Linked DNA regions of Xenopus tropicalis. The protein of the gene in region 1 purifies or fractionates together with the protein of each later gene. This does not show direct contact. Links are inferred from orthologs where the notes say so. Each region holds a gene or a part of one and is shown on either strand. Other genes may lie near its edges.

Evidence for each region. The genes of interacting proteins can lie anywhere in the genome.
Region 2: the proteins of asxl2 (region 1) and ogt purify together in Homo sapiens (affinity purification with mass spectrometry; 3 studies listed by BioGRID and IntAct, with this or other methods). This does not show direct contact. The link is inferred for Xenopus tropicalis from reciprocal best matches to the Homo sapiens genes ASXL2 and OGT.

The regions. Positions count from the first base shown.
Region 1 is NC_030681.2:154,173,955-154,184,626, reverse strand, and holds the end of asxl2 (putative Polycomb group protein ASXL2), read left to right. Parts: intron 1-366; coding exon 367-502; intron 503-1,143; coding exon 1,144-1,272; intron 1,273-1,608; coding exon 1,609-1,772; intron 1,773-2,155; coding exon 2,156-2,252; intron 2,253-2,515; coding exon 2,516-2,621; intron 2,622-2,777; coding exon 2,778-3,480; intron 3,481-4,066; coding exon 4,067-6,592; 3' UTR 6,593-8,498; downstream 8,499-10,672.
Region 2 is NC_030684.2:44,056,764-44,067,069, forward strand, and holds the end of ogt (UDP-N-acetylglucosamine--peptide N-acetylglucosaminyltransferase 110 kDa subunit), read right to left. Parts: intron 7,211-10,306; coding exon 7,094-7,210; intron 6,682-7,093; coding exon 6,514-6,681; intron 6,162-6,513; coding exon 6,009-6,161; intron 5,553-6,008; coding exon 5,300-5,552; intron 3,781-5,299; coding exon 3,657-3,780; intron 2,805-3,656; coding exon 2,630-2,804; 3' UTR 1,659-2,629; downstream 1-1,658. UniProt on the Homo sapiens protein: Catalyzes the transfer of a single N-acetylglucosamine from UDP-GlcNAc to a serine or threonine residue in cytoplasmic and nuclear proteins resulting in their modification with a beta-linked N-acetylglucosamine (O-GlcNAc).

The DNA of each region.
Region 1 (10,672 bases):
CATTAATAAACAAGTTAAAAAGCAAAGGCCCAAGGACTGACCCCTGCAGTACCCACTAACCACACTGGCCCAATTAGAAAATGTTCCATTTACCACCACTCTTTGTACTCTATCCTTCAGCCAGTTCTCTATCCAATTACAGATATTATGTTCTAGGCCAATATTCCTCAATTTGATCATTAACCTTCTGTGAGGTACTGTATCAAACGCTTTAGCAAAGTCTAAGCAAATCACATCCACTGCCATTCCAGAGTCTAGGTTTCTGCTCACCTCCTCATTAAAGGCAGATAAATTAGTTTACCCTGCTCCATCTTCTCAGCCCCTCTTGCTTACTGCCATGTACTCATGTTTCTCTCTCCCTCACAGGCTTTGAAGCAGCAACAGCAAAGGAAGAAGCAGCAGCAGAGGGTGGGAATGCCAGTCCCTGCCAGCCAGCGCCTCCTGCTGACTACAGTGAAGACTGCAAACAATGTTGCCCCTGCCAAGCCAACCCCAACCCACAGTATGTTGCCTATACATCTATCCTACATCACTAGCTCCTCCCCTTGTCGCCGATAGGCTGTTCAGCAGTGTATGGACCATTCACATACAGAGTGTGGCACTTAATCACAGACCCATAATCACAGAAATGTTGTTCGACAGCTCTCCTGTTTGGAGGTTCAGCAGCTATTTGGTTGCTAGGGTCCAAATTACCTTAGCAACCAGGGTGTGTTTTGAATGAGAGACTGGTATATGAATAGGGGAGGGGCTGAATAGAAAAATAAATACTAAAAAGTAACAATAACAGTAAAACTGGAGCCTCACAGAGCGATAGTTTCTAGCTGCCGGGGTCAGTGACCCCCCGTTTAAAAGCTGCAAAGAGAAGAAGAAGGCAAATACTTCAAAAACTATAATGAATAAATAATGAAGTCCAATTGAAAAGTTGCTTATAACTGGCCATTCTATATCATACTGAAAGGTGAACCCCCCTATAATCCTGTGTACGTCCTGCCCCAGGCTCATCTTGCCAGTTTGCATGGCACCCGTGCCTACGTAATGTTATACCACGAGGGGTTGTGCCATTATTCAGCCCTGAGGGTATAAAAGAGCCATGATTGCCCCGTGCCACTCACAGTGACCCCCCCTTCTGTTCCTTGTGTGCAGCATGGGAAGCCAAACAGCCAGAGGGCCAAGCAAGCAATGCCCACATCTCTGCGCCATCCGGCACCTCCCTGGCATCTCTACATGGACTGGGGAAGAAGGCATTGCCGAGATCAGACCGGCTGCAAGCCAGTAAGCACCGCTGTAACTGCCCCTGCCAACCAATCATATTGACAGACCTTAGTGCCAACTGTGGGTCACCTGTACCTGCAAATGTAGCCAGAAAGCTGAGCCCTGCTGCGCCATACATGCTGTGGGCAGTGCCTGACTGCCGGAGGGGGTTCTGCTTCACTAATGTGGGTGCTCTGGGCAGTATATATGGGTGGTATAGTGGCACTGTTGTGGGTGCTCTGGGCAATATATATGGGTGGTAGAGTGGTACTGCTGTGGGTGCTCTGGGCACTGTGTGAGGGGAGTATTGTGCCACAGTCACAGGGTATGACATTTACTCTTTACACTCACGTGCAGGACATATAAAAAGAACAAAATGCGCAGAGATCGACGTAGAGACACCGGACTCCATCTTGGTCAATACCAACCTACGGGCACTGATAAACAAACACACCTTCTCACTCCTGCCCGGGGACTGTCAGCAACGGCTCCTCCTCCTGCTGCCTGAAGTGGACCGACCAGTGAGTACCATCATGCAGTAACGTGGGTTGGGCGTCCCCATACCAGGGGGCAGGTAGTGTATCAGCCACCCCTTTTACATATGGCTTAAAGGAGTAGTTCAGTGTAAAAATGAAACTGGGTACAATAAAAAATATTTATATATATATAGTTAGTTAGGCAAAAATGTAATTTATAAAGGTTGGAGTGAGCAGATGTCTAACATAATAGCCAGAACACTATTGACTACTACTAACTATATTACAAATATGCACAGTCTGTCTATTTTACCCAGTTTCATTTTTACACCGAACTGTTCCTTTAAGGGGGAGTGTCCTTTGTAGAGAAGGCCCGTTTTGTTGTAGTAGAGACGGGGCTTTGCATATGATGTGAGTTGTCGTTCCAGACTGGTCCCGACGGCCTGATGAAGCTCAACAGTTCCGCCCTAAACAACGAGTTCTTTACCTCGGCGTCCCAGAGCTGGAAGGAGCGGCTCTCAGAAGGTGAGAGGATGGGGATCATGAACATCGGAATCCTAGAGGGGCCTCTGGCTGGGTTTAACCCCCTATATTCTTGATACTGGGCTGTTGTATATATTGTATATAACACCCAGACGTGCCGTTTCATTGGCGGATGCCTCTAATCTGTCTCAAACAGCCATAGCCATTGGTACAATGCATCAGCACAACACGGGCCAGTATATTTCATATGGCAGAGAACCTGACCAATAAAGAGTGAGGAATATGATTCTTTCTGTCCCATCCAGGGGAATTCACCCCAGAGATGCAGCTTCGTATCCGCCAGGAAATTGAGAAAGAGAAGAAGGTGGAGTCGTGGAAGGAGCGCTTCTATGAGAGTTACTATGGGGAGAAGTGAGTGGGACATTCCCATCCATTTTGTATCTTCTTTATTCACAAATCAGCACTGAACTGGGCAGAACTAAGAATCATGTTCCTGCCCCATAGACTCAGTGGCTCGGGGGCAAATTGCAGGTCCAATTACAACTTATCTTTCTGTTTTATTCTCAGCTCTGGGCTAAACCCTGACGATTACAAAGAGCTGATTGCAGAGACCAACGATACTTTGGCCAGAACCCAAGTCTCCCCTCCAAAGGAACAGTGTAAGTCCGACCCGTGCCCTGAACTCCAGCCGGTTGAGGCCAAGGTTGAGACCACAGCCCAGAAGGGTATAAATGAAGGCCCACCAATAAAGAAGGAAGATGAAGGCACTGTTCATGTAAAGGCCGAATTACCAACAGCCGGTGATACCCAGCGCCCCCCCGAAGTCATGCCAGCGGATACCAAAGAGAAAGTCAGCACTGTTCCTGTGAAGACAGCAGAGGGCGCTGCAGAGGTTATAACCCCAGTTCCCAGCAAAGAGACTGGGCATAAAATATCCCCTAAGCCGGAGGAGACAGACTCAGAGAGCCAGGGTACACCAACCCCAACCCCACTAACCAGTCCTGTCCATATGCAGCCTCCCAGCACTCCCACAGCCAAGGCTGCGCCGGCTCAGGGTTCCGGGGCAGAGGGGTCGCCAGAGAAAGTGGAGCTCGCAATCGGCACACGAGTCAAGAGGAAGCTGGATGTGGGCGCCGGGGATTCGGATAATGCTGGGAAATGCATACGGATATCGGAGCAGCAAGAAATCCAGCGGCCATTTCGTGACTTGTGTAGCCCCAGTACCAAAGGGACGGCCCAGGGGTCGGAACAAAAAGTGCCCCCACTTAAGGTAAAACAGGACTGTCTGTTCCCATTCACTGCTGTTGTCTCCACTGTTAAACATAACTTCCTGGTTTGCCCACTAGTAATCATGGTCACTAGCCCATAACTACCAATCAGATGTTTGCTTTCAAAGTCTTGCCTTCGCCACACCAGTGAATGGTAACTGCTTGGATGTCAGGGGTTATTGGCCCGGGGCAATAAAATTGAAAAAATGTCTGCAATGGCCTCTGTGTATGAATCCAGGGGTACAGGAGCCCTGGGAGATTATAGTAGGGCTCATTTACAAAGAACATTGCAGGGGCAAAGTGCACAAAATGGGTGTAAACCAGTGTTTTTTCACTTTGCACCCTTCCCAGCACTCAGTCTTAGTCTTTACAAAAGCCCCTCCCAGGTTCCAAGCTGCAGGACAGAAAATGTGCAAAAAGGCAATACAGAAGGTTTACAAAGGTAAACTTCCCCTTTAAACCAGAATTCAGCCTGCACTGCTTTTATTAGTTTGGACATTTCTTGTCAATCATTTAGTGTGTCAGCTAGTGATACCATTCTGTACTGACTGTGTACTAATGAGGGTACTATTTCTGTCTCTCCTTTAGATCCCTGTCTCTTGGTTACCTACAAAGCCCTTTCCCAGCAGCCGGGTCTCTTCCAGGCCCTATTTTCCAACCACCGGCACCAGTCCCAGCAGAACAGGAGCAAGAACCTTGGCAGACATCAAAGCCAAAGCCCAGCTGGCCAGAGCCCAGAGGGCAGCAGCGGCGGCAGCAGCAACATCAGCTGGCCTCTCTGTCGGTTCATCAGTGCCAGGGCCAGGGCCTGGAGGGGGAACCGGACCTGGAGGAGGAGCCGGACCTGGAGGAGGAGCCAGACCTGGAGGAGAGGCGAGGAATCCAGCAGCTGGCACCAGTGAAACAGGACACAGGGCCGGAGTACTGGACGTGGGAAGTACTGGAAGCTGGAGAGGTGAGAGGGGAAATCCAGCCCTTCCATCATGCACCCAGACTTCCAGGGAGACCCAGAACCCACTGCAGGTATCACCTGACAGTACAGCAAGAACACAGCTACTGCAAAAATCCAGTCTACAACCCAGACACCCAATAACAGGAGCCCAGGCATCTCTAGCCTATGGCTGTCCCTTACCTGCCCGGAGCAGTGCCAGCATCAGAATGCCCAATCCGTTATCTGATAGACTGGTGGCAACATCTGGCACTGTGGCCCCTGGGGTTACAGCTATACCTCCATCAAGCACAAGCTGCTCATCACCACAGAACCTAAAAGGTATCCGGGCCAACCTAGCTGCTCAAATCAGACCTAGAATTTCTTTAGGCACTCAGACAATCCCACCAAGGCCTACGGAGACAGTCCCACCAAAGCCTGCCGAGACAATCCCACCAAAGCCTGCCGAGACAATCCCACCAAAGCCTGCCGAGACAATCCCACCAAGGCCTGCCGAGACAATCCCACCAAGGCCTGCCGAGACAATCCCACCAAGGCCTGCCGAGACAATCCCACCAAGGCCTGCCGAGACAATCCCACCAAGGCCTGCCGAGACAATCCCACCAAGGCCTGCCGAGACAATCCCACCAAGGCCAGCTGAGACAATCCCACCAAGGCCAGCTGAGACAATCCCACCAAGGCCTGTCGACACAATCCCACCAAGGCCTGTCCTGTCTCAGGCAGTAACTTCTAACCTTTCCACACCAGCCAAAGCTCAGGCACCCAGTCAGCCAGCAGGTCCCATTCCAAGCACTCAGAGGGTGCCCATAAGGACGGGCTCTAGCATACCCGCCAATAACCCTCTGGTTACCCAACTCCTGCAGGGCAAGAGTGTCCCCATGGAGCAGATAATGCCCAGACCTCTCAACAAGATGGAAGTAAAGACCATTCCTATAGGTTCTGGTCAGAAGGAGAGGGTAACTAACACAGCTGGAGTTAGTGCCCCTGCAGGGGGCATCATGGTAAGTAGAGAAGATTCAGAAAAGCCCTCACACATGGCTGTCCAACAGCTGGAAAGGTTTCTTAGCCAAAATCGGCAGCTGCCGTCCAGCCAAAGGATCCTGCAGCTCTTCTCTGGAAGAGATCTGAGCAGTATTAGCCAATCACAGAGCCAGGAAGCAGCCAGCAGTACCGCCCAAGAGCAAACTCTCCAATCACTGATCAGAAAGGTTCAACAAGAGAAATCATTGGTCGGCCCCAATCCAGCTGAACCGAGTGAAAACACATCCGCCAGTCAGAGGTTCATGTTTGGCTTTGTGGGCCGGCGAACGTCTAAACCTGCCATGTCGGGGCACTACTTGCTAAACATCGCTACGTACGGCCGCGTTCCCGAGAGCTTCCGGCGAGCACAGGCTGTAAGTCCTGAGCGGGGCATCAACCTGAGTGACCCAGAGAGGTCTCAACCCAGAGACGATGAAACAGAATCCGTTACTGAGAGCGAAGAAGAAGAAAACAGTGAGAACAATCCAGAGGATAGTGAATATGCCCCCCGATATCTCCCCATAGCCGTAAGTCACCCCACCACACTCAGGACTGCAAAACTCGAGGCCCCCATGTTAGATCTGAAAGAAACGGTCCAGGCTTTATCAAGGGGGGACATTTATGATGAGTCCCACATAGCCAGAGACTTTATCCAGGCCGCCCAGGCCAAGATGGTGAATGTATTGGGCATAAAGCTGAAAGGTGATGCTTCTGAGCTGTTCAGGGCGAGCAAGTCCCACGAGGGCTCCCAGCCGCCCCATTCTGAGCAGATACACACGGGCGGGCCCGCCAGCCTCATCGGATCCAGTTACGGAGGAACCATCAATATCACCACTTCGCCCGAGGGAATGCAGGGGCCCTCCATCCCTACAGGGGGCCATCTCACACCCACCAGCGCTGACAATCTGGTCTCCTTCTCTGTCACCGTCACAACCATCCCATCCAGCCACATCGTAGACTCAAGTGATCACGACCAACCCGTTTCTGTCCAGGCCTTCACCGAGGACCCCGGCAGGGACACGGCCCCTTCCAAATGCTACTGTCGACTGAAAGCCATGATCATTTGTAAAGGCTGTGGCGCCTTCTGCCACGACGACTGCATTGGGCCCTCGAAACTCTGCGTCTCCTGCCTGGTGGTGCGGTGACGGCAAACCCACGGCTACGATCTCATTGGCCGAGAAGGAAGGACACAGAGGGTACTCTAATGGATCAACAATGTTGACACGTTTGCACTTATGAAATCCTGTATATAATATATATATATATATATGTGAGTGTGAGTGTGGGGTCCGAATAGGCCTATTTTGTAGATTTATAGGAATACTGCCCAAAGAATATGTCCCCCAAATGCACAGCAATACCCCCTAGCGTCCTGCCCTTAGACTCCTCTTGTCTGACCTGCAGGAACAGCGTGCACTAAAGGGGGGCTGGGGGGGTCTCTGGTCAAGCAATAATTTTATATTGTCCGTTCCATTGGGAGTTCACTGTCTTGTTGTCTGTCCTTCTGCCCCATTGCCCCAGGGTTGTTTTTATTTGTAGGAGCAGATGTAGGAAGATAAAGCGTTTTTAAAGACTGAATTATGAGCACTTACTGTGGGGGTGGTGGATCCCTGGGGGGGGGCACAGATCCACTTTCTGGCTGTAGCAACACTCCTCTTCATTTAGGGACTGGGGATTGGGATCAGATTCCAAACAATCTTAGGGGTGTATTTATTAAAATGGGAGACAAACATCACCCGTGATTTGTCTCTGTCTTCAATTTTAATAAATACACAATCACTTTCTATGAGAAAATCATCAATAGATCCTAATGTTATTGGGCATCACTGTGATTTTATCTTGTGTCTTCTCCCTTATTACTGACCCCAATTCCTTTATTTAGTGCTGTAGGGAAAAGCACATTGGGCATTCAGCAATCTAACTGTCCTGGGCTGACCCGGGGTAACTGCCAGGAAGCAATTGCCCCTTCTTGAGGCACATTGAAACCACTGACAGATGGAGTTTATTCAGCTTCCTCTGAATCATCTAGAAGTTAGGTAGGAATGGGTAGCTGTGATGTTTGGAGTTATAGTTCAGCAGCAGCTGTGGGACACGCCCACAGAACTGTTTGCACCTCCCAAAGGACACGCCCCATATTTTGTAAATAAAAGGTGTTTTTAGTAATGATCGTGATTTGTAATGACAATTAGTGTTTAGCCTGATAGCAATAAAACGAACGGAAAACGGGTTTAAACGACAGGGTTTGTAAGAGAATGGGGGGCCCCCGAGAGAGCCCATTGGTTATCCATGTGAGCCACTACCAACAGGGGGGCAGAGTGATCTAACAACACTAAGTGACCTGGTTGCTATGGACTCAGAACTGCCCCGGAGTTCAGGTGCAATGGCTGAAATGTATTATTTTAAAATAAATGTCATTTTATCTCAGTTTTGTTACTTGAATGAGAGACGTTGGAGAAGTTTGGAGAGTCTGATACAAAGGGAAGGGCCCCATTCATATATTGCCGTGTGTGTGGCCCCTGCCTGGGGCCCATCTCCAGACAGAGTTGGCAGCTTATCAGCCCCTGTATGGGCCCCTCCTGATGCTCTGCCTAACCACTGTCTCGCTATAGAGCAGCCACATATCCCTCAGTCAGCTTAGTCCCTATGGGGTATGGCTCTAGAGCAGTCCAGTTCTGTGTATTTGCTGTGTGCTAGACCAGTTCAGTTCTGTGCATTCGATGGCTCTAGAACATTAGGTGTTGCTTATGTTCTCAGATAAAAGTCACGTTCTGCACCTTCGCTGAGTGGTGGAACAACTTGTGTTCTAGAGCTTAGACCTTCCTTTGTTGCCAGAAACCCAGATAAGGCTCTGTGCTGGTCCGGTCTCTTCATGGACCCCCATCTTTCAGGTGTAACCTCTCACTTATCGCCTCTTCTGATTCTCACTCATTCTAACTGACACTTAGCCCTGAGTAAATGCCATTCAGATTTAGTACCCACAGTAGGAGCCGCTGTACCGTTGCTACACAATATACTGGGTAGGGAGTGGATTTATTGCCATGGCTGCTATGTTACTTCTCATTTCCTTACAGAACCTCCCCCAGCATCCCACTGCAAAAGGGACAGAGTTACTACTCACATTTCATGGCGTTGCCCCCTCTGTGTTTTTGTGGATTCAGGGTATGAAATGGCCATAGATTGTCTGTCTGAGCTTTTCAACTTCACATTTTTTTTCAGTAGATATAATAACGCTCATTGATATTTCTCTGTCCCTGTGTTACTTAATCTGCAGCGTTGTACCTGGAGCCATCTTTAGTGGTAGTAAGTAAGGGGCAACTGTCTGATGTCTGCCCCTAGTGATCCCCACAGTCCCGAAGTTCAAGGTAAGAAGAGAGTAGCAAATCTCAATAATGCACAATAATAATAGCCTCTGGGAAGGGACTGGGGCTGTGGGATAGCAGGTATAGTAGGGAGAGATGGTACCTATAGTAGCAGTGGGGGGATAATAGCCTCTGGGAAGGGACTGGGGCTGTGGGATAGCAGGTATAGTAGGGAGAGATGGTGCCTATAGTAGCAGTGGGGGGATAATAGCCTCTGGGAAGGGACTGGGGCTGTGGGATAGCAGGTATAGTAGGGAGAGATGGTGCCTATAGTAGCAGTGGGGGGATAATAGCCTCTGGGAAGGGACTGGGGCTGTGGGATAGCAGGTATAGTAGGGAGAGATGGTGCCTATAGTAGCAGTGGGGGGATAATAGCCTCTGGGAAGGGACTGGGGCTGTGCGATAGCAGGTATAGTAGGGAGAGATGGTGCCTATAGTAGCAGTGGGGGGATAATAGCCTCTGGGAAGGGACTGGGGCTGTGGGATAGTAGGGAGAGATGGTGCCTATAGTAGCAGTGGGATAATAGCCTCTGGGAAGGGACTGGGGCTGTGGGATAGCAGGTATAGTAGGGAGAGATGGTGCCTATAGTAGCAGTGGGGGATAATAGCCTCTGGGAAGGGACTGGGGCTGTGGGATAGCAGGTATAGTAGGGAGAGATGGTGCCTATAGTAGCAGTAGGGGGGATAATAGCCTCTGGGAAGGGACTGGGGCTGTGGGATAGCAGGTATAGTAGGGAGAGATGGTGCCTATAGTAGCAGTGGGGGGGATAATAGCCTCTGGGAAGGGACTGGGGCTGTGGGATAGCAGTTATAGTAGGGAGAGATGGTGCCTATAGTAGCAGTGGGGGGGATAATAGCCTCTGGGAAGGGACTGGGGCTGTGGGATAGCAGGTATAGTAGGGAGAGATGGTGCCTATAGTAGCAGTGGGGGGATAATAGCCTCTGGGAAGGGACTGGGGCTGTGGGATAGCAGGTATAGTAGGGAGAGATGGTGCCTATAGTAGCAGTGGGGGGATAATAGCCTCTGGGAAGGGACTGGGGCTGTGGGATAGCAGGTATAGTAGGGAGAGATGGTGCCTATAGTAGCAGTGGGGGGATAATAGCCTCTGGGAAGGGACTGGGGCTGTGGGATAGCAGGTATAGTAGGGAGAGATGGTGCCTATAGTAGCAGTGGGGGGGATAATAGCCTCTGGGAAGGGACTGGGGCTGTGGGATAGCAGGTATAGTAGGGAGAGATGGTGCCAATAGTAGCAGTAGGGGGGATAATAGCCTCTGGGAAGGGACTGGGGCTGTGGGATAGCAGGTATAGTAGGGAGAGATGGTGCCTATAGTAGCAGTGGGGGGGATAATAGCCTCTGGGAAGGGACTGGGGCTGTGGGATAGCAGGTATAGTAGGGAGAGATGGTGCCTATAGTAGCAGTAGGGGGGATAATAGCCTCTGGGAAGGGACTGGGGCTGTGGGATAGCAGGTATAGTAGGGAGAGATGGTGCCTATAGTAGCAGTGGGGGGATAATAGCCTCTGGGAAGGGACTGGGGCTGTGGGATAGCAGGTATAGTAGGGAGAGATGGTGCCTATAGTAGCAGTGGGGGGATAATAGCCTCTGGGAAGGGACTGGGGCTGTGGGATAGCAGGTATAGTAGGGAGAGATGGTGCCTATAGTAGCAGTGGGATAATAGCCTCTGGGAAGGGACTGGGGCTGTGGGATAGCAGGTATAGTAGGGAGAGATGGTGCCTATAGTAGCAGTGGGGGGGATAATAGCCTCTGGGAAGGGACTGGGGCTGTGGGATAGCAGGTATAGTAGGAGAGATGGTGCCTATAGTAGCAGTGGGGGGATAATAGCCTCTGGGAAGGGACTGGGGCTGT
Region 2 (10,306 bases), on another chromosome or scaffold:
ATAGGTAAAGTTATTTTTGTACACCAAAGTACCACATGGCAAAGCTACGCTAAAAAGACAGATCAGGAATACTAATACAGGGATAAAAATGCAATAAAACCACAAAAATTGTGCAAATCAATGAACAACAAAATAACGACAGGGTAATAACACGACAGGGTAACTAGAGGTCAGAATATCTAATCCAATAGTCACACTGACATGACTGGCTCGTTGCCCAGGGGGCTATCATTGCTCCAAACTCTGTGCAGAGGTGGCACGTGATCTTTATCTGCCAAACAAAGTACAGCATACGTGCTTGGCAGATAAACCCTTTTTTTTTTTTTTTTTTTTGAAAGCATGTATTCATAGTGCAACATATTTGTATTATTTACACTCTCTGCTTACACAGCCCCTAGTTACACAACCATGTAGGCAGCTTTTTGGTTTTGCCATTAAATGAATTTCCTGCCAATCACCTGCCAGTAACTTAGCATCTAGTCATTGGCTACAGGCAGTGGTGTAACTAAGGGCCGCAGCTCTGTGCAACTATTATTTGCCGATTTTGCCACCCCCTTTCTCAGCACTAGATGTAAAAATGGTAGACGGATAGAGAACGTGGGGGGGGGGGAGATGGGGGCAATGGGTTGCTTGGAACGTGGATTTCAAGCTATGGGTAGAGGGGCCATGGGTCTCACTAAGCACCCTCTGTCTTATAATAAAATAACTATAAAAAAAAAAAAATCATGACCAGTTGAGAAGTTGCTTAGATTTGGCCTTGCTATGGCATACTAAAAGGAACCACCCTTTAACGGCTTTGTGCCCTGCCTGAATTTTTCCATCTGGTTGATGCTAAACCCACAATATGAACACCCATATATTTTATAGAGGAAGGAATTTAACACCTAGAAAATAGTTACCTGTGCATCACAAATCAGAAGGAATTCCCTTTAGCCGAGTATGGGGGCCACATAAGGAGGGTGAATTCTGTGCATTTTTGTTTAGATAATACGTACTTGCCCAACCCTTCTTTTCACACTAAAGTAATATATCTATCAGTCATATTATATACGTTCCATGTTCCTTCCAGAGGGTGGGGAACTGTGGGGAGAGCCTTTGTCACACCCGGCCTTGTGTCTGCAGATGGATTAATGGTGAGATGAAAGTCTCCAGCCAGGATGAGGCTGCCCTTTTTTAAATACATGTTCTGTGTATCAAATTACCTTGTAGTACTGCCTCATCAGGCAGCAGAAGATGCATCTATGCTAGAGATCACATGCACAGCTTGTTACTGGGGAGTAGGTTCATACTAGTTTAGGTTCCTACTAAAGGTTTATTATAACCCAGAATACAAAGATGGAGAGTTGTTGGTCTGGCTGTTATGTGGTTGTGCCACTTGGTTTGCCTTTTTGTGTTATAAGAAATGTATTGGTTGTTTTCAGTTACATGTATGTTTGATACGATAGAAGATACATACTTTGACATAGCTGGTCAGCTTGAAGTATATTGCAATATATGGACAAATAGTACCGGTTATGCTTAAAGCTTTATATACAGAAAGTCTTTATGTCCTAATTATATACTGAGCAGGTGATGCCAAGACAACAGTTGTGCCACAATAGACATTTTTATCACCGATTAAAAAAAAACCAAAAAAAATAAACACAAGAAACATTGAATTTTCCACTTGAAAAGTTTACTGAGGGAAGAAAACTCAAATCCATACATCTGAAACAGAGCAATATCCAACAATTTCTTTTAAAAAACAAAAAACCCACAAGATCAACTGATATTTTATTAAACCAAATAGGCATTGTGCCGAGGCATTTTCCTTCCTACAGAATGGCAGCACATGCTTTCTCTTTCACACAAACAAATGCATTTCACATCCACACGAGATCAGCACAAATGAATAGGCCCGAGTTTCATTATTTCCCAACATTCCACCAGTGAAACATTTCAGGAAGTGGCCTCCGTGCAAGATTTAAAGGTACATACACAGAAAAACCTGCTTTATTTCTTCATACACAAACTGCACACGCTAACCTCCCGTATTTACACAGACCTGCGGCCCAGAGGAAGCCGCTGCCCGTAGCGCACTGTACTAAACACACAGATTAATAAGCTAGTAGGAAATTCAAATAAAGCAGACAATTTAAGGGGGAGGGTTAAAGACATCTCATCTATACCAAAAGAACACACAGACCAGTTTGCTTGTAAACAGATGCCAGACATTAAAAGGCTACAAGTGGTTTATAAAACCTATAAAAAAGGACTAGAACACCATTAATGATGCTTGGGTTTTTTTTTTTATCTTTAAACCTGCACAGTTAGCTAGGAGAGTCAAGCTGCGATTTTTGAGCCAGCAGACAAACACAAATTTATAGGTTTAAAAGCTCAAATTCCAAATATACTGCAATACAAGGCTAAAAATGTACATGAACCAGTAAAACTGCCCATGAAGTCATATTTGGATGGCAACTTGCAAAATCTGATGGAGGTTTAGCAAAAGAACAAAAAAAAAGCAAACTAAAAGTCTAGAGACCAGCGGGTGTTTCAATGATTCCATTCTGTTGCACAGCGAGTCGGCTTGCGTGTGCGTCGTAGCCCCCCGTCATGGTTAGCCAATAGATTCAAAGCTAGCAGGGAGTTAAGCAGATTCAGTGCTTTCCACAGTCTTGATGAGATGATCAGTTTTGTTTCCAGCAGAATAATGCTCCCACATTTGTAAATACAATCTCTCCAGATCTATTGTGTATTGTTTGGTATTGAAAAGTGGGCTGGATATCCTTTGCTTCCAGACCTTAGAGCGGATCTTTTTCAGGCTGCAAAAGATAAGATTTCATTAATAAAATGACTGCTTGCACAAACTGGACAGCTGCTGAATGGCCAAATAGTTTAAAACCAGAAAGAATAATAACCAACTGCAAATTGTCTCAAAATAGCATTTTCAACATCATACTGACAGTTAAAGGAGAAGGAAAAGCTAAGTCACTTGGGGGTGACCTCGTACGGAGAGAACAGCACCAGCCCGGGGTAGCAGTGAGCGCTTCCTCCTTCCTGCTTTGCTTGCTCGCGCATGCGCAGTAGAGTGAATAGTGGAACTTTAACAGAGAAGTCGGCTTTTCTCTCTACTGCGCATGCGCCTGTCATTTAGTCCTTCCAAAACAAAGGCGGAAGGAGAAAGCGCTCTGCTACAGGTACCCCGGGCTGGTGCTGTTTTCTCCTAACAAGGTAAGAGATTAAAGTCACTAGGGGGTGCCTAACATTCTGGAACCCCCAAGTGACTTTGCCTTTCCTTGTCCTTTAAAAGTGTACAACCCCTTTAACCCTCTACCTCTGCTGCCGAGGGACGTGATGAGGAAAAAAGAATTGTCTACTTTGAAAACAGAAATATGGCTGGTTAAGTGTATGCTGCAATCCAGCCTTACATACATAAAGCAGGAAGCACTAACCTGCCCATTTCTGGGCATGTAACCAGGGGGCCCATGAAAGACAACCATGAATGGTATGGTTTCCCCTGCTGTCACTGAGCGTATTTCTTTCCCATACCTTTTAGCCTGATTTTTCTTTTGTTTTCAGACTTGTGTAACAGACAGGAGGAATTATGTTCCTCCTTCCTTGATTTGCAGTGTTACATTTTGAATAAATCCTATACCATAATACTTTTAACTTACTATTCCAGATCAGTTCCGAGTTTCACAGCAGTGTCCTCATAATCTTGCCTGCCTTTAGCGATTAGCTCGGGGCAGCCGAGACATGTAAGCTGTGAAGCAGCCACTCGTGATGCAAGTGTATCGCCTACAGACAGGGAAATGCAGTAAATGTTAGCCATACCATCAAATCTGCATACACATGTAATCAAGGAAAACCAAGAGATGTTACCATACAGAGTATAATTCAAGTTACTGACATCACATATTCGGAAAAAAAAACCAAAACAAAAAAAAAAAACAAAACACACATTTTTTTCCCCAGTAACGGTTTCCAAGTGGGGCTGACAGTTATTATCAGGGCTGTGGAGTCGGTAGATAAATTCTCCGACTCCTCAGTTTGATACTTCCGACTCCTCTGTTTTTAATATGCTAATGTATTTATACATTCATACAGTCAATGAAAAGCTTTATGGTCACTCACGTGGGCTTTATTCTTATAGCAGAGAAGTCATTAATTATGACTGTTTGTGAATTGGGACATTTAAACTTGCTTTATTTTTTTTTTTATTCCCATTTAAATTTAGTGGGAGTCAGAGTCGGTTCATTTTTTGCCGACTCCGACTCCAGGTACCCAAAATTGCCTCCGACTCCACAGCCCTGGTTATTATACCTAGATTTAAAGCACAGCCCTTACTACAGATGAGGGATATAGTATTTTTCTATTTAATCTCACATACAGAGAGCTTTGGGCCCAGCTCTGGGTGCAGACCCAGGTGCATGCTGGGGGAACGTGCATGTTTAAAATAAAGTAAATGCCCCAGCTCATTTATTATGCATGTGATGGGGAGGGGGGGCATAACAAGTAAACTGGGGTGCATGTATGTGCCCCAACTTGGTCACCCCCACCGCAAGCTTCCTTCCGGTGTAGGAGTCAGAGCACCCATTCAAAAATCCTTTTGTTTCTGGAGCACATGCTCTGTTAACCTGCACCACTGGTGGGAAAAGAAAATATTTTAGGCAATAGATGCCCTTTCAGAGGAAAATACATTCTGTCTAATCTTTTCATTACTAATTTATTATTATAAAGCAACAGGTCACCTCTCGCGCAATAAACTGAGTTAGTTTAACATGAAATAATATAAACAGCCAAATCCTTTGCTGGCTTCCACACGGGCAGAATCCTATTATGCAGGGAGTATACAGTATACAGGCAATTGTAATCTAACAAGAACCAGGAGGAACTTAGAAACACAGTCATGTATAAGGCTAAAACTGAAATATAAAAACCATACAAGTTTCATAATTAAAATGGTCAATAAGCATGTATATATGAAGTTGGGTACCACAGAACTGCAGTATGCGTATGAATGCTGGTTGCAGCAGATACAATTTAACTGGCTTAACACCAACTGCATGTTTACTTCTTGAACTGAAGAAGCTGCTCGGATGAGTAGTGAAACGTCTTCAATGATTACCAAACAAGTCCAGTTGCTTCAAATTTATTTATACTAGATATACCATGACCTGGATGAATGAAAATCTTCATAGACTTCTTGAGACATATAACTAACAGCTACAATTAAATATCTGTCACACCAAAACTTAAATTACCTAAAACAATACTAATTTTTGTTGCATAAAGAAACTTTCTGCAGACTCTTTACCTGGCATGGTGACCATGGGTGTTCCTGCCCAGAGCACATCCATGCCAGTGGTGTGCCCATTGCAGAGAGGTGTATCTAAGCAAACATCAGCCAACTGTCCTCTGCGCACATGTTCTTCCTTAGGAGCAACTGGAGAGAAAATGATCCGGGACTGGGGAAGGCCCATATTCTGTGCGTACTGCTGGATATTTGGCTCCCCAACTGCTGGGAATCTTAATAGCCACAGAACACTGTTTGGGACACGCTTTAAAATCTAGGACAAACAAAAAGTTTCAAATGGAAGATGTTAAGCAGTGCATAAGGATAAGAAATAGTTGACTGTGTTTAGATAAAGTGTCACATGACATCCCTGTCACCATTTACTGAGAAAACATGATAATGATGTATCACTGTAAGGTATGGCAAGCTATCAGCAACACATCTAGATAGAATCTGCTCTTCCTGTATAGCAAGTTTGATCAAAATGTGATCCAACATAGTACATATATTTGGCATTAAGTAAATCCACAGGGTGTGGGTGTTGCTGACCCTTGTGGTCAAAAAACAATTGCTCTTTGAGGCTACATTTACCCGATACATACACTAGACAACCTACACACAAGGGTTTGGCCAAAAATGCTGTTATTTTCCCCTAGCTGTGCCTTTCACTAACCAAAAGGTATAAAACAGAACCTTAATTGATGGCAGTTGTATAACACAATATACTTACATTTGCCCACATCTGTAATGTGGAAGGGTCAATCTTGTAAAGCTGGTTAAAGTTGCAGTACACAACCGCATCCTCAGGGAGTCCATACTGTGAGCGTGTGGTGACAATGATGGTACGAGGCACTTCTTCACCTGTCGCCGCTTTGTTATTTATCTAAAATATTCAAATCACTTTGTTATGCCATCTTTTTCAACATTTTTTGCCTATTGTTTTAATTAGAAAATAATAAGTAAAGTAACTTCCGGTTCAACAAATCAGAACCCCACTCTGACAGCAGTCAGCCTCAGCCTTCACTGGGAACACTTTAACAATTAAATGAACACCAATAGTCCAAGTTGTAAACACACGGAGTGGTGTTCATAATCAGAATAAGCTATACAATGACTCAAATTCCAGGCTTGCTTCTTTTTGAAGCAGATCCACACTTATAGGTAAGAACATTATACTTATACTATATATTTAGCCATCATTTATATTACATTCCACATCACTTTGTTAAATTTACCTGGGTTGTTGCAAGACCATTGCTGATGTTGAATCCATTTATTGTTATCTGAATTTGCCCCCGATTTATCATTTCAATCACAGCTTCTGCTATGCTGCTCATAGGAATCACTGGCATGTTTAGTGCAGAGTTATTGTCAACATTATCTCCGCTGTCTGGGCCTTTCATCTTTTGGAAGGGGGGAAAAAAATTTTTTTTTAAGAAAGCAAGGAGGCAAAGAAAACAACTATACCTCAAAAATAGCAATATCCTATACTATGGGCAGCTAAATGTCAAACTTTTGAATTAGGGTCATATTATAAACATTCTAGTTTATACAATCTCTTGGTACCCACAACTACTGTTTTTATGCCATACCTGACCACTACCTCCCCCGCTATCATAATATGGCTATATTCACTTAAAAGGCAAGGTAAGGACATAATCAATAGAAGGCAATACAGACCTTACAGAACATTTCACACATCAGGATTTACATTTGGACTTCCTCAACATGGTAAAGTACATTAAATGCAATTAAAATAGTTTTTCCATAAAAGCAAAGAATGGTGCTTGATAAAAATCTAAAGTTAACTCTCACCTTTACAATTTTCACATCAGGTAAAGATTCCAGGAAAGCTTTCAGATCAATTCCATTGAGTACGATTCTATTGTCATAAATATGGCCATTGGATTTAAAGTCTATGACAGCTTTTTTCTGGGGAAACAAGATTTAGTTTAGTTGATTAAAGACTGTTTGTAAAGTATGGAAGGCATTTCTAAGAATACGACTACTACTAAAAAAATTAAAAAACGTTTTATTTTTTTAGTAGTAGTCGTATTCTTAGAAATGCCTTCCATACTTTACAAACAACTACTAAAAAAATAAAAAAGGAGATTTTGTGATACTCACCGTTAAATCTCTTTCTCCTCAATGGCTTGGGGGACACAGGGACAGTGGGTATAGCTCCACCTGCAGGAGGCAGGACACTAGGTAGGAATTAATAAAAAAAAGGAATGCTCCTCCCCTTCAGCTATACCCCACAGCGCAGCCCAGAGAGGCTCAGTTTTGTCTAACAAAGAGGTAACCAAAGTAACCATAAACAAACCGTTATAACAATGTAACATAAAAACATGGCAGATGGCGCAAAGAGGATTCCGCTTCCGGGGAGGGGAGCCCTGTGTCCCCCAAGCCATTGAGGAGAAAGAGATTTAACGGTGAGTATCACAAAATCTCCTTTTCTCACACAATAGCTTGGGGGACACAGGGACAGTGGGGACATACCAAAGCAGTCCCCTGAGCATAATGAGCGGTGGGCAGGAAGCGGAGTCGGAGTTAGACTGCCGCTGCTTGCAGCACCTTGCGTCCAAAGCGTGCGTCAGATGCAGCAAATGCGTCAAATTTGTAGAACTTAACGAAGGAATGGATGGAGGTCCACGTGGCAGCCTTGCACAGCTGCTCAGCTGAGGCCTGGTTTCTGAACGCCCAAGAGGTACTGACAGATCTGGTGGAATGGGCCCTGATCGATTGAGGGGCCTGTTTTCCCTTGGAAATGTATGCTCTCCGAATGGTCTCTCTGAGCCACCGGGAGATGGTGGACTTAGAGACAGGTTGCCCGAGACGGGTGCCCGTGGGACTGACCAGGAGGGCATCAGACTTGCGGATTTCCACCGTGCGGTGAACGTAAAATTTGAGAGCACGTACTGCGTCCAATGAGTGGAGAGCGACTTCCTTCGGCGATTTGGGATTGGGGCAGAAGGAAGGAATGGTGAGTTCCTGGTTGATGTGAAACTTGGTCACCACCTTGGGAAGAAAGGACGGTATAGTACGCAGTACCGCCTTGTCCAGGTGGAAGATGAGAAAGGGGGACTTGCAGGAGAGCGCGTTCAGCTCGGACACGCGTCGGGCTGATGAGATGGCCAGAAGGAAGACCACCTTGCGGGTGAGCCAGATAAGAGGAATGGTGGCGAGGGGCTCGAAGGGGGGCTCTTGTAGTGCCCTTAGGACTAGGTTAAGGTCCCAGGGGGCACATGGATACCGAAAGGGGGGTCTGATGTGTGTGACGCCCTGCATGAAGGTCCTGATGTCCGGTAGGAGGGCGAGGCGCTCCTGAAAGAGAACCGAGAGTGCCGATATTTGTGCCTTGAGGGAACCCAGGGCTAGGCCCTTGTCGAGGCCGGCCTGAAGGAAACTCAGAATGGCTGGAATAGAGATAGTCTGGTAGGAGACGTTTTCCTGGGAGCACCAGTCCCGGTAGATTCTCCAGACCCTGTGGTAGGCTTGAGCGGATACAGGCTTCCGCGCTGCTAGAAGAGTTTTGATAACGGGTTCTGAGAACCCTTTTCTCCGAAGGATCAGGGATTCAGTAGCCACGCCGTCAAATGCAGAGACCTTGGGTTTGGGTGGAGGAAGGGACCCTGGGAAAGAAGGTCCGGATCCTGCGGTAGATGCCACGGTTCTTCTTGAGACAGAGACAGGAGGTCTGAGAACCAGGTCCGGCGCGGCCAGTAGGGGGCGACGAGGATGGTCCTCACTCCTTCCTGTTTGATCTTTTTGATGACACGCGGAAGCATGGGCAACGGGGGAAAAATGTAAGCCAGGCTGAAGGACCATGGTGTTGTCATGGCATCCGATGCCTCTGCCCGAGGATCCCTCGAGCGTGCTAGGTATCGAGGTAGCTTGTGGTTGATTCGAGATGCCATCAGGTCCACCTCTGGTGTGCCCCACCTCTGTGTGAGTGTCTGAAATACGCTGGTCTTGAGGGACCACTCCCCCGGGTCCATCGTCTGCCGGCTGAGGTAGTCGGCCTCCCAGTTGTCCACGCCGGGGATGTAGACGGCCGAGAGGAGGGAGTGGTGAAGTTCTGCCCATCTGAGGATGTGGCTGGTCTCCGTGAAGGCTTGATGGCTCCTTGTCCCGCCCTGGTGGTTGATATAGGCCACTGCGGTGGCGTTGTCCGTTTGAATGCGGATCGGCTGGCCCTCGAGGAGAGTCTGCCAGTGGACCAGAGCGAGGCGGATGGCCCGAAGCTCGAGAATATTGATGGGGAGCAGCGATTCCGAATGGGACCAGGAGCCCTGGGCTATCCGTCCCTCCAGGACTGCTCCCCAGCCGGATAGGCTGGCATCGGTAGTAAGGATGCGCCAGGTGGGATCGGCGAGGGAGCGGCCGCGTGTAAGATTGGTGGTGTTGAGCCACCACCGCAGGGACACCTTGGTCTTTGTGGAGAGCAGAGTCTGTTGGGAGAGACTCCTGTTCCTGTGCCACACTGAGAGAATGTTCCATTGTAGGGGCCGGAGGTGAAATTGAGCGAACGGCACGGCCTCGATGGAGGACACCATCGATCCGAGAACCTTCATGCAGAACCGAAGAGATGGTCGAGGTAATGAGAGAAGCAGCCGGACTAGGGCCTGAATGCGAAGTACCTTCTCTGGAGGAAGGAAGAGTCTCTGAGCCCTGGTGTCGAAGGTCAGACCAAGGAACGTCATCACCTGGCTTGGACGAAGTGAGGATTTGGCAAGGTTTATCTTCCAGCCGAAGTCCTGTAGGATGCCCATGGATAGTCGGAGGTGCTCCTCCGCTGTCTGGAAGGAAGGGGCCTTTATGAGCAGGTCGTCCAAGTAGGGGGTGATTGAGTCCCCCTTGGACCTGATCACTGCTGCAGTGACCGCCATGATCTTGGTGAAGACGCGGGGGGCGGAAGAGAGGCCGAATGGCAGAGCCGTAAATTGGAAGTGGAGGTTGCGGTAGGCAAAACGTAAGAACCTCTGATGGCGAGGGGAAATGGGGACGTGAAGATAGGCATCCTTGACG